Drosophila melanogaster: one gene and its partner. Changing the gene in region 2 together with the main gene of any one other region gives a genetic interaction. Each region holds a gene or a part of one and is shown on either strand. Other genes may lie near its edges.

Region 1 (5,343 bases), 9.4 Mb from region 2:
GTTTTCATTCGCCTTCGAATTCGTTTTTCATAAAACTGATCGCTCTCTCCGATAAAATTGATTTATGCGGCGATCGGCGGCAATTATACGCAGATGCGGTGCCTAATGGATCGGTGGCCGATCGAAAGCTGTTCATGAAGATATAAATGCGAGTGCGCCAGAGCAAGGAGTCATGGGATTCAGTGGTGTAAGTTCACACGACAGGCCAAGCTGAAATTCTGATTGATCTTTAGCTGAAATTGGTTGTATTGAGTCTGCAAGATACAAAAGGATGCGGAAAGAAAATCTTTTAAAAATCCTATTCTAATGGGTGAACTTATTCCCTGATAATAATATACCTCTACCATTTTAAAAAACGGAACATAACTTTTAACTTTTCTAAAGCCAAGAATGATCCATTTTTCTGATATATGAAATAATTGTTAAAAAAAAACAAGTTAGCTCCGAAAGTCAAACCAATGTCAAATGCATACAGAAATCGTTGAAAATGAAATATATAGTCTGAACTGATTGGTCTTAAGCTTTATTTATTGTCCAATATATACATAAAACAAAGAACTAGAACTATGAGGCGTTTTCCTTAGACTACAACATGTATTCTTCTTGAAACTGCAATAAATTAGAGACTCGAATCCTTCGTCCTGCGAGATGTCCACTACATGTGCTGCATCTGTTGCTGCTGTGCATGATGCTGCTGCTGCTGCTGCGATTGCTGCATGGTTGGGGGCCACATCACGTGGTTGGGAATCGGCGGGGGCAGAGAAGTGGGCGAGTCCAGGGGCTCGGACTTCAACTTCAGATGCTTGGCGATGCCCTCGCAGTCGATGTCGCCACGTTTCGATTTGTAGCGCCGATTCTGGAACCAAATCTTCACTTGGGTGGCCGACAGGTTAAGCTTTTGCGCGATTATCTCGCGCTCCGCACCCGTCAGATACTTTTTGAGTCGAAAGCGACACTCCAGCTCCAGGACCTGTGCCTGGGAAAAGAGCACGCGAGGCTTTCGCTTCATCCGGGGCTTGGTGGAACCACTGTTGCTCCCCGGATTGCTGTTCCCACTGATGCTGTTTTTTCGCAGCTCGGAACGCGAGGAGGTCACCTGGCTGTTATCCTCTGAAAGATAGCCAATATCGAGAATATAGTAGAATATAATAGTTATAACTAGTTAAGGGACTAGGCACTAGTTTAGGATCATATTCAAACAATGTTTTACTTTGCCATTACAATTTCATCCATAAATCATCTTTCAATCCTTAAACACTTTGTTGTTTAATTTAATTATATATTGAATTTTTAACTTGACGTTATTTGGAATGAATCTATCTTTGAACCTTAAGAAATTTTATGTTTTTATGTTTTAAAACAGATGAACAACGAATTTGATTTATTAGCCCATTATCCTCATTTTTTATATTCGAAGGCACACTTCCTATGTATGTATGTACATATGTATTCCCCAAATCGTTCTAATTGCTTAATAATTAACATCCATACATTTCATAGATCCACTTCTCCATTAAACAATTAAACAAGATACTCACTTTTTTTGGCGCCCTCATCTGAACCGTAGATGCTCCTTAGGGAGGACGAGTTGCTAGCGGTCTCCATGAGGCGCTGCGACAGGGGATTGACGCACAGCTTCTGCGTCGGAGCTTGCAGGCTGTCCACCTCAGCGGAGCTGTTGAGGTCCAGGGTGGGCGAGGGCGTGACGTATGGCGTGGGTATGTACTCGCTCTTGATGCCCACCGCCGAGGGCGTGGCTCCACCGTACACCTCACCAGATCCGGCGTAGTTGTAGTTGTAGGTGGCGGGGGTCTGGTAGGCCGTGGCCGAGGCGCCGGCGTAGAACTGCGAGGCGGACATGTTGTAGGCCGAGGCGGAGTGCTGGAAACTCTGGTGGGGATGTCCGTGATGGTGCTGGAACATGTGGGCGGGCATACCGTAGTCCTGGTATCCGCCGTACAGCTGGTGCGGCGGGGGTGGCAAGAGTGGCGATAGGGACGACGATGTGGTGGCGCCATCGTCCAAGTGTTGGTGATGCAGTTGCTGCTGCGGAATCGGCAGCTCGGATTGCTGATGCTGCTGGTGGTTGAGGTACTGGTGGGGATTCTGGTACTCACCGGCGGCGAAGAGCGCCGAGGCAGTCGCCGCGCTGCGGGAAAGCAGGAAAATGGAAAAGCGCAAGGTTAGAAACAAGGCAATACAAAGTCTCGTATATGGCCGCCATATGTTGCATCACGGAGGACACAGCCCGGGGAGCTGGGACGAGGACTTTTTGCCCACTTCCTGCTGGCGCGACAGGATCCATGGTGACATCATTTCATGGCTCATCAGGCAATTAAGGACGCCCCTGTGCGGCGGTCCACACATGCGAATCACACATGTTGACCAGCCCAGAAGGGATCGGGCGGACCAGCGATCGCCGTGACTCCCGACTGCCTGCCTCGGACATTGTTGTTCTTATTGTTAACACTGTCTCTCCTCGTCTTTGTCTTCGGCCTCTTGTACAAATAACGATGATTTGTCAAAGCCTCGAGCTCAACGCTCAACGCTTGACGCTCTCCGATCCCAGATCCTATTTGCAATTCATGCTTTCTATGTGTTTTCATAGGATTTCTTCTGCTACGTCTCGGCGGAAGGTTATCAAAATATTATCTTTCTTTGGAAAATTGGTAGAAATTAATTTTCCTATGGAGCCCTATTAAATAAAAATAAATAAAAGCGATCGGGACGGGGAAGGGCGCTGTCTTCGAGAAGAAGTCACTGACAGGTAGAAGTGGTGGAAATGTCCATGTATGCCAGTTGATAGCTAAAAATGGCTCAACTAACAGTTGGTCTCTCTCTGAACTGCACAGATACCTTCTTAAATCATTGCAATTTAGATAGTTAACCGGTATAATAATTAGTTTTATATCATATATGTACACTGATTCGATTTAGTAGATTTTGGTAACATGTAGAACACAGTACCTTGGAACTAGTCTATTGGTGTACCCCAATTTTTAGTTGCTTTTGACCCTTAATGTATAATTGATTCAAAACTTCCAAGCTTACCCATCGATATGCCCGTAGGAACCTTCGTAGGCCTCCGTTTGGTTGACCATGTTCAGGATATCCTTGACCGAAAATGGAGTGGTGTTCAGGGCATCCGCGTTCGTCAGGCTGCCCGGACTGGGGGACTGAGTGTAGTGATCGTAGTAGCCACCCGATTGAGCCTGCTGCTGATGGTGCTGCAACATCCTCGCTGTGCGATCACTTGGCCACTTGAGAAGCACTTCGATTTAAATAAGTCCAACAATTTGCCAAATCGCACTTGAACTTGCGACACTTGAATTGGAATCTCGGTAGTCCAGTAATCGAGCAAACACTCCACGCAACCGTTAGCGCAACCGTAAGTGAGTCGTAGCCCGTAATCGGCAATCAGTAGTCCGTAACCCGTAAGCCGTAAAGCGCCGTTCCGATGCGCACTCGACCGTGTCTGCAATTTGTCAGCTCGATTTTGGTACTGAACGCGTACTCCTTTCACCCCAGACCGCCTCATGCCACTGTGTTTTTGGATGTGTGTGAGCGAACTGAGCATACGGGCAAAATGGCCGCCCCGGAGCCAATCACAGCACAGCATCGGAATGCGAGTGCGGCATCTCGCTCTTCTGCGCTAGAGATGTGCGAGGCTGTCATATGCTTAGGAGATTTATAAAATATGTATCCAAATATAAAAAACTAATTTATGTATTACATTTGTAAATTTAATCTAATAGCTTAAGAATATATATGGTATTGACAATATATTTTAAGTTCTGTCCATCACTAATTCCAAACATGTATGCTTGTATGCATGTATGAAAGTATCTTTGCACAATCGCACACATTGTACCTGACTATCAGATTCAATAACCGACTCCTCCAGCTGCTCCCCGTTGTTATTAGTTGTTTGTTCGCAGCCACTTTATGCTGATTTTGTTTCGCTACTTGAGCTTAAGTATCCGTATTTATTATCGTAAAGTCCTTAAGTTTTATAGTCCCCATGTATTTACGTTTGTCCGCGCGTCTTGTGTATTAAACGGTTGTCAAGTGGCGCTCAAGTGCAGATTTTCGCACACTTGATTTTAAGAGTGTACTAAGCTAACAAATAAATAAATCGTGGGGAATATGTTTGGTTTAAACGTTACGCTCTCATATATTATTGTTTATTTCACTTGAAACTGTTATGATTTAATAGAGATGAATAACATGGATATGTGAAGTTGTCTAAATAGAGCAACATTTTTAATAATATTTCGCCTTTATGGGATGAATACCTTCATTTCGAATCTTGGCATTGCACCAAAAACGTGTTCACATATGTATATAATTGCATATGTAGTGCATATGTACATACAGTACACAGATATACATATTATGTACATACATATTTTGTTTGGTATGTTTAAGAACTTTTAGCGAATATTTGCCTTTCTTATAATCCTATTAAGTCACTTTTTTTTTAAAAATATAGTGCCCTTGTGCATTCAGAGTGTAGGGTTTACGTAGTGACGATGCGCTCCATAAGAGTTTGTCAGAGTTATAATGAATTCCGCTAGAAAATAATCCTCCATTCGTAAAAAATCGAAGGCCCAGTTTAAAAAATAGGAGAATTTAAAAAAGTTAAAATTTTTCTGTTTATCTTATGAATTTTATTCTAGTTGTGCTAGTTTGACTGCTAGTCTTTAAACTCGTTAATTTGTATTTTGTTTTATTTCATTTAAAATAAATTAAACATTAAGCTAGACAACAAAACTGTTGTGAAATAAGAAATTTCGTCATAACATAAATACATCGTATACTTAGGCCGATATTTTCTTAGTCCTACAACCTTTTTTAACACACCCGCAAACTAAAATCCTACAGCATATGTAAACTAAAGTATGTAAAAGTTTTCAAAAAGTTATGAACTTAATTATGTGATTTTCGTACTAACATTTAAAAAAAAAATATCAAAGCACATCAACTATCAATATTCATAAAAGTATTTCGATATAAATATTTTAAGCTATCGATATATTGTCACTTTTTGTTTTGCCATCGCCAGCAATCTCGTCGCCTGGTAACACTTCTAATTTTCACGTCAAAGAACTCGGACGCGTTCTGCGTGTCGGCCGCGCTAGCAAAAAACTCTGGCTTTAGTTAGTTATTTTATTGGAAAAATATTTAGTCAAGAGGTGAGTAATGGCGCCCCAAGTGAATATACACAGTAGGTTGCGGTCATTAAGCGAGATAAATGTAATTTACACACACGCACACACAGACAGACGCGTGAAAATTTCCCAGTTTTTTTTGGCTGCAGTGCATTCTATTTTGTGTGTGCCT
Region 2 (4,639 bases):
CGGCGCTCTCTTTCCCGCTCATGGCAGTACGTTTCAAGTGAGAAAATTATGAAGCTCCACCTATTTTACACTTACACACACGTAGCGACCGCGTTTGTGAGTGTATGGGTGTGTGAGGGAGAAGGGGGAACACATGTTAACCGCATTAAAAATTAATGTACAAATTGTTTATTATGTTGTCGAGTCCGCCTTTTGTTTTTGCTTTTTATCAAAGAGAGCATGTTTCGCTTTTTTTTTCGATAACACAATTTCTGTTACCATAAATATCTTTTTATCCATTTATACTTTTAGTTTTCAAATCTATATGTTTCTTTGAGCAGCAAAATATAAAGTACAAAAAAAGCAACATCCCAAGGGGCCGCCAAAACTTGTTGATGGAGCCAAAGAATCAAGCCACTCGCATTCTGCTCTCTTCGTTAGAATTCTTCGGTTGTCCGGGATCTCTTGGATCTCTGTTCTTCTGTCATTTTGTAGACGTGTCCATTGATGGACATTCTCAAGAACTCGCCCATCAGCAAACGATGTCATTAATGTGTGGCAATCGCGGAACGATTTCGGTATTTCTTACTCGGAAATCGCAGCAGAGGAAATTTTGCAATCGCAAGTGCAAATGATTTTGTCCGTTAACGCAGCGATGTGGCCAGGAAAGGGTTAAGGGATTCCCTGGAAAAAAGAAATCCCCTTTATCTCGCACCGCCAAATTTACCCGAAAGAAAAACGATCGAAAGCTTTCTTGAGTGGGGAATTAATCATAGCGATATGCATACATATGTGTGTAATTCCCACACGGGGAATATTTTGTCATAAACTTGATTTACCGGAAAGACTTAAAAAATTATAATACAAGTATATAATTAAACTATCTTATTGCTGTTCAATTCTGGGAATTTCAGATAATTCCTATTTATTGTTGAGTATTAAACTGTTTATTAAAAATATTTCCTAATTATAACAATTAAATATGTAAATCACTTAAGCTCTACACTTTAATATTGATACCCAGCAGCACAGAGTATTAATAAAATAACACCGAAATAAATTTGACGGTTGGCGGAAAAGTTAATGGAAAGACTCATAAGTCGCTTTATCAATAAAAACGAAATTTTGTGCAAATGTTAATATAGTCAAATCCCGCATAACGGCCATATGTTTACGAGCAGCACGATGAACAAAAGAGGCCACCCTTACGTAGTGCTTACGTCACGGGATAACCGAGAGGAGCGGCACTAACAGCGCTTAACATTTACGATATGCGATAACAGAGAGCTGTTATGTTAAGAATGAAGCGCTCTCGCTTCTCTGGCACCACCACCAACACACCACCCATCAGAGCATTAGAGCACCAACCACACTACCCCCGCCCGAATCACCTCGTACATCGGAACGGTGAACCGTTACACCGTTATATTATGCTGGTGGTGGCACGGAGCACACACACAAACAGCGCCGCCCTCTCTCACTCGCTCTCCGTGGAAACGTAGAACCCCGCCGTATCGCCCTCGCCCGAAACTCACAGTTCGCATCCGACGGATTCGGTAGAGGACGTCGGTCTCTGTTTCGTTCTCGGATTTGGCTTGATGCTTCGAAACTTAGAACTCTGAATTCAGTTGCATCGTAGACGTCGCGACGGCAGCACACGCGTCGCTCACCCACAGAGAAAACTCTGAGCAGCACACAGTAGAATCACGCAGATATAGAACGCAGATCAGTGAAATCGCCCACAAAATAAAAACAAACGCGACACTCGCAGCGGCGCATCGCGAAGAAAAATCCCAGTGTTTCCCATGTTCGAAAGATAAAAAACCCAAGGCCCTTGCCCAAATGGCCGCCACAACACGTGTGTGCTCTATAAGAAAGAAATAACGCCGAGCCCAGAAGAACCCACTAGCCAACTAGCCAACTAGCCAAACAAACTATCCGCATCAAAGTAGAGCAAGTGTTGCAACAAGCATTCCAAATGTTGTCCTGTCTGGCGCCGTCGTCTTCACGTTTCGGCCAAGAGGATACCATCATTCAGCAGAGCATGCCCTCCACCTCCCCCTTCGCCATGCAGTGTAAGTGATCAGAACGCGGATCTGGAGCACAGATCTCGGGTGATTCATCCGCAAACCGCCTCCATTATCACCAATCAGCCGTGCCATAGAACTTTGTGTTCAAGTGATTCGCGCGCCAAGACTCGGTAGCTTCGATTTGAAGATCCCCACATGCAAGCTTAGCAGTTTCCCAGAAACCATCCGCCATCTTGGGTATATGTGTGGTCTCCACCTTCAGGGGATCATAAGAATGAGTAGCTATAGAAAAACAAACTCATAAACGGCGAGTAAGGATCGAGGCAGGTCTCGAATTACCATTACCTACTCCTACGCAGAGAACGGGCTCCGGTTCTCAAAAAGGAGAGAGCGAGCCCGAAACCGAAAAAGTTTGCCCGATCAGCACACTGAGAGAAAACTGGGTCACTTTGTGCAACTTCTATACGCTTTGAGAACTTAAAGAACTTATTGTTGTTCAACTATAATCATTCGCTGGTTTTCAGCTACGAAAGTCCTTTTCCATGAGCTAAAACTACAATATAGTTAAAATTAGTACGGTTTAACATGGCAGATCATTCGATTTCTTATATCTATTGGTCATATCACGCTCTTCACACATGAAAGTCGGCCAGTCGATCTTGAATAATGGCATTATTCCCTGCATTGCATAGCATAGCCACCTCTCTGTTCCTCCCAGTGGCCGACCAATTGCAGCCACATCTCAATTTGATTTGTTGGCACCGCCGAAACAGCACCGCCGCCTTGCCAGTAATCTCCACCCACCGAGAACCAGGTAGAGCTACCCCTGACCAGGAAAACCGCATGCGCAGGCTGAAACAGCAGACGACAGGTAGCTAACTTGGCCAACACCATTACCGCGATGCCGCACCTCCATTTAAGAACCTGTTTTATGGCCATATTGCTGGTCGCTTGCCACTCTGTTTATCGAGTGTAAACAAAGCATAAAACTGTCAGTGGGCAGAGCTCATCGGTTGAAATGGAAGGTGTGAGAAAGAGCCGAAATTAATTGAAAACGCTTAGTTGGGGAGCATTGGGGATGGCGCAATGCTGGGGAAACGCCCACGATTCGTTCGGTGCTCCACTCCTCCGACTCTGACAATTGATAAGCCAGCTAAAGAGACGGATTAATTGCACATGTTCGGTGGAAACGGTTGAAACGGTGGCAACACCGCTGCCATAAATTATAATTTATGGCTATTTAAGCAGCTCCGTTCTCTGTGGGCGGAACTAAAAGCCCTCGAACACGATAGTTTGGCTAATCGATCAGAGATGGCTGCGCACAGGTTGGCCCACATATCTTCGATCCATATACTTTCCGCTTGTTTTCCGTCTCTTCCCTGGGCAAACCGAGCTGCTTGATGGCGCTGGGCAGCTGCGACTGCGATGGATATTAATCGCCGGCTACATACGAAATGCTGTTCGCTGGGCTTTTGGAAAAGCCGGGGGAAAACGCCAGCCAGCCAGCCAGCTAGTCAGCCAGCCAGCTAGTCAAGTTGTACTAATTTTCCGGCTGCTCGGCGTGTGTTGTGTCGCATTTCGAAACGGCTCCAAAATGCCGTAAATCAAAGATTTCGCCCTGGCGAAAACCTGTCGCCTGTTATCACCTTCGACTACGCCCCTTAGCTAAATATACTCTAAATATACTCTATGTATAAATCAGCGCCAATTTCCATTCCCATTTTCGCCCATCGAAGCCCTGAGCAGAAATTAAACATTTATCTGACATTTGCATCTTCGATTGGGAATACCTACCTAGTGTGTGTGTTCCACCAGCAACAAGATTGCCTCCTGTCTAATTAATCATTTTGGCTGCTGTCAGTGGATGTCAGTTTTATATGCTGGTGCTGTCGGTGCTGCCATTTATAACTCCTGGCCGGCTCATCCTGCATCTTTCACCGGGCACAGGACTCTGCCCCGTCAGCTGGTAATCGAAATTAAACAAACTTGGCCCCACAAACTATCTGGCAACTGGCATGCAAAGATGATTAATTTTGCCGATGCCTATCTCAAGTGGAGTTGGAGACTTCGGCCCGACTTTGCCCAAAATAAACAGACTGTGTCTTTAAATTGCAATTGAGCCAGGCTACAGAGCAAAAAAAAAAAAGGAAGCTCCCCATTTGCAACCAGCACAAAAGGACAATAAATCAATGAGGGGAAAGTCCTCTTTGATATCCTGCTGCAGATTCCCTTTATTCCGTGTTCAACCTGCCGCAGCTTTGGGCAAATTATTTGCCACATTTTACTTTTATTTCGCATTTTGGCCAAAAAGTAAATTGTTTGCCAATATTTTTTGCTGCTCGCTTTTTGCCGCCGTCGTGCACACAATTGAAACAAAGATAACTTTGAAACAGTTGTAAAGTGAAAATTGCACGGAATGCAGCCCGCCTCCTTGCGAATATATTTTTTCTTATTTATTTAATGCCCGCCGCTCTCCACGAGACAACAATTGCTACCCGTGCTATCCCCCGAAAAAAAAGTGCCAAAAAATCGGCGCAAACAAAAGGGTGCCCCCTGCCACCCAACCCTTGCAACACCCCCTTAAAAAAGGTGTTGCCAAAGGGCAGGCAAAATTGCAGCGCCAAAGAGGA

What was found. A genetic interaction does not mean that the proteins touch.
Region 1: of zfh1 (region 2) and tin, changing one enhances a phenotype caused by changing the other (phenotypic enhancement), as found in Drosophila melanogaster (one study listed by BioGRID).

Annotation. Positions count from the first base shown.
Region 1 is NT_033777.3:21,377,140-21,382,482, reverse strand, and holds tin (tinman), read right to left. Parts: upstream 3,507-5,343; 5' UTR 3,237-3,506; coding exon 3,052-3,236; intron 2,150-3,051; coding exon 1,539-2,149; intron 1,111-1,538; coding exon 656-1,110; 3' UTR 513-655; downstream 1-512. UniProt on the Drosophila melanogaster protein: Required for the development of heart and visceral muscle; for the formation of somatic muscles. Has a crucial function in the early mesodermal subdivisions.
Region 2 is NT_033777.3:30,764,327-30,768,965, forward strand, and holds the start of zfh1 (Zn finger homeodomain 1), read left to right. Parts: upstream 1-1,599; 5' UTR 1,600-1,957; coding exon 1,958-2,054; intron 2,055-4,639. UniProt on the Drosophila melanogaster protein: Involved in the development of the embryonic central nervous system, embryonic mesoderm and adult musculature.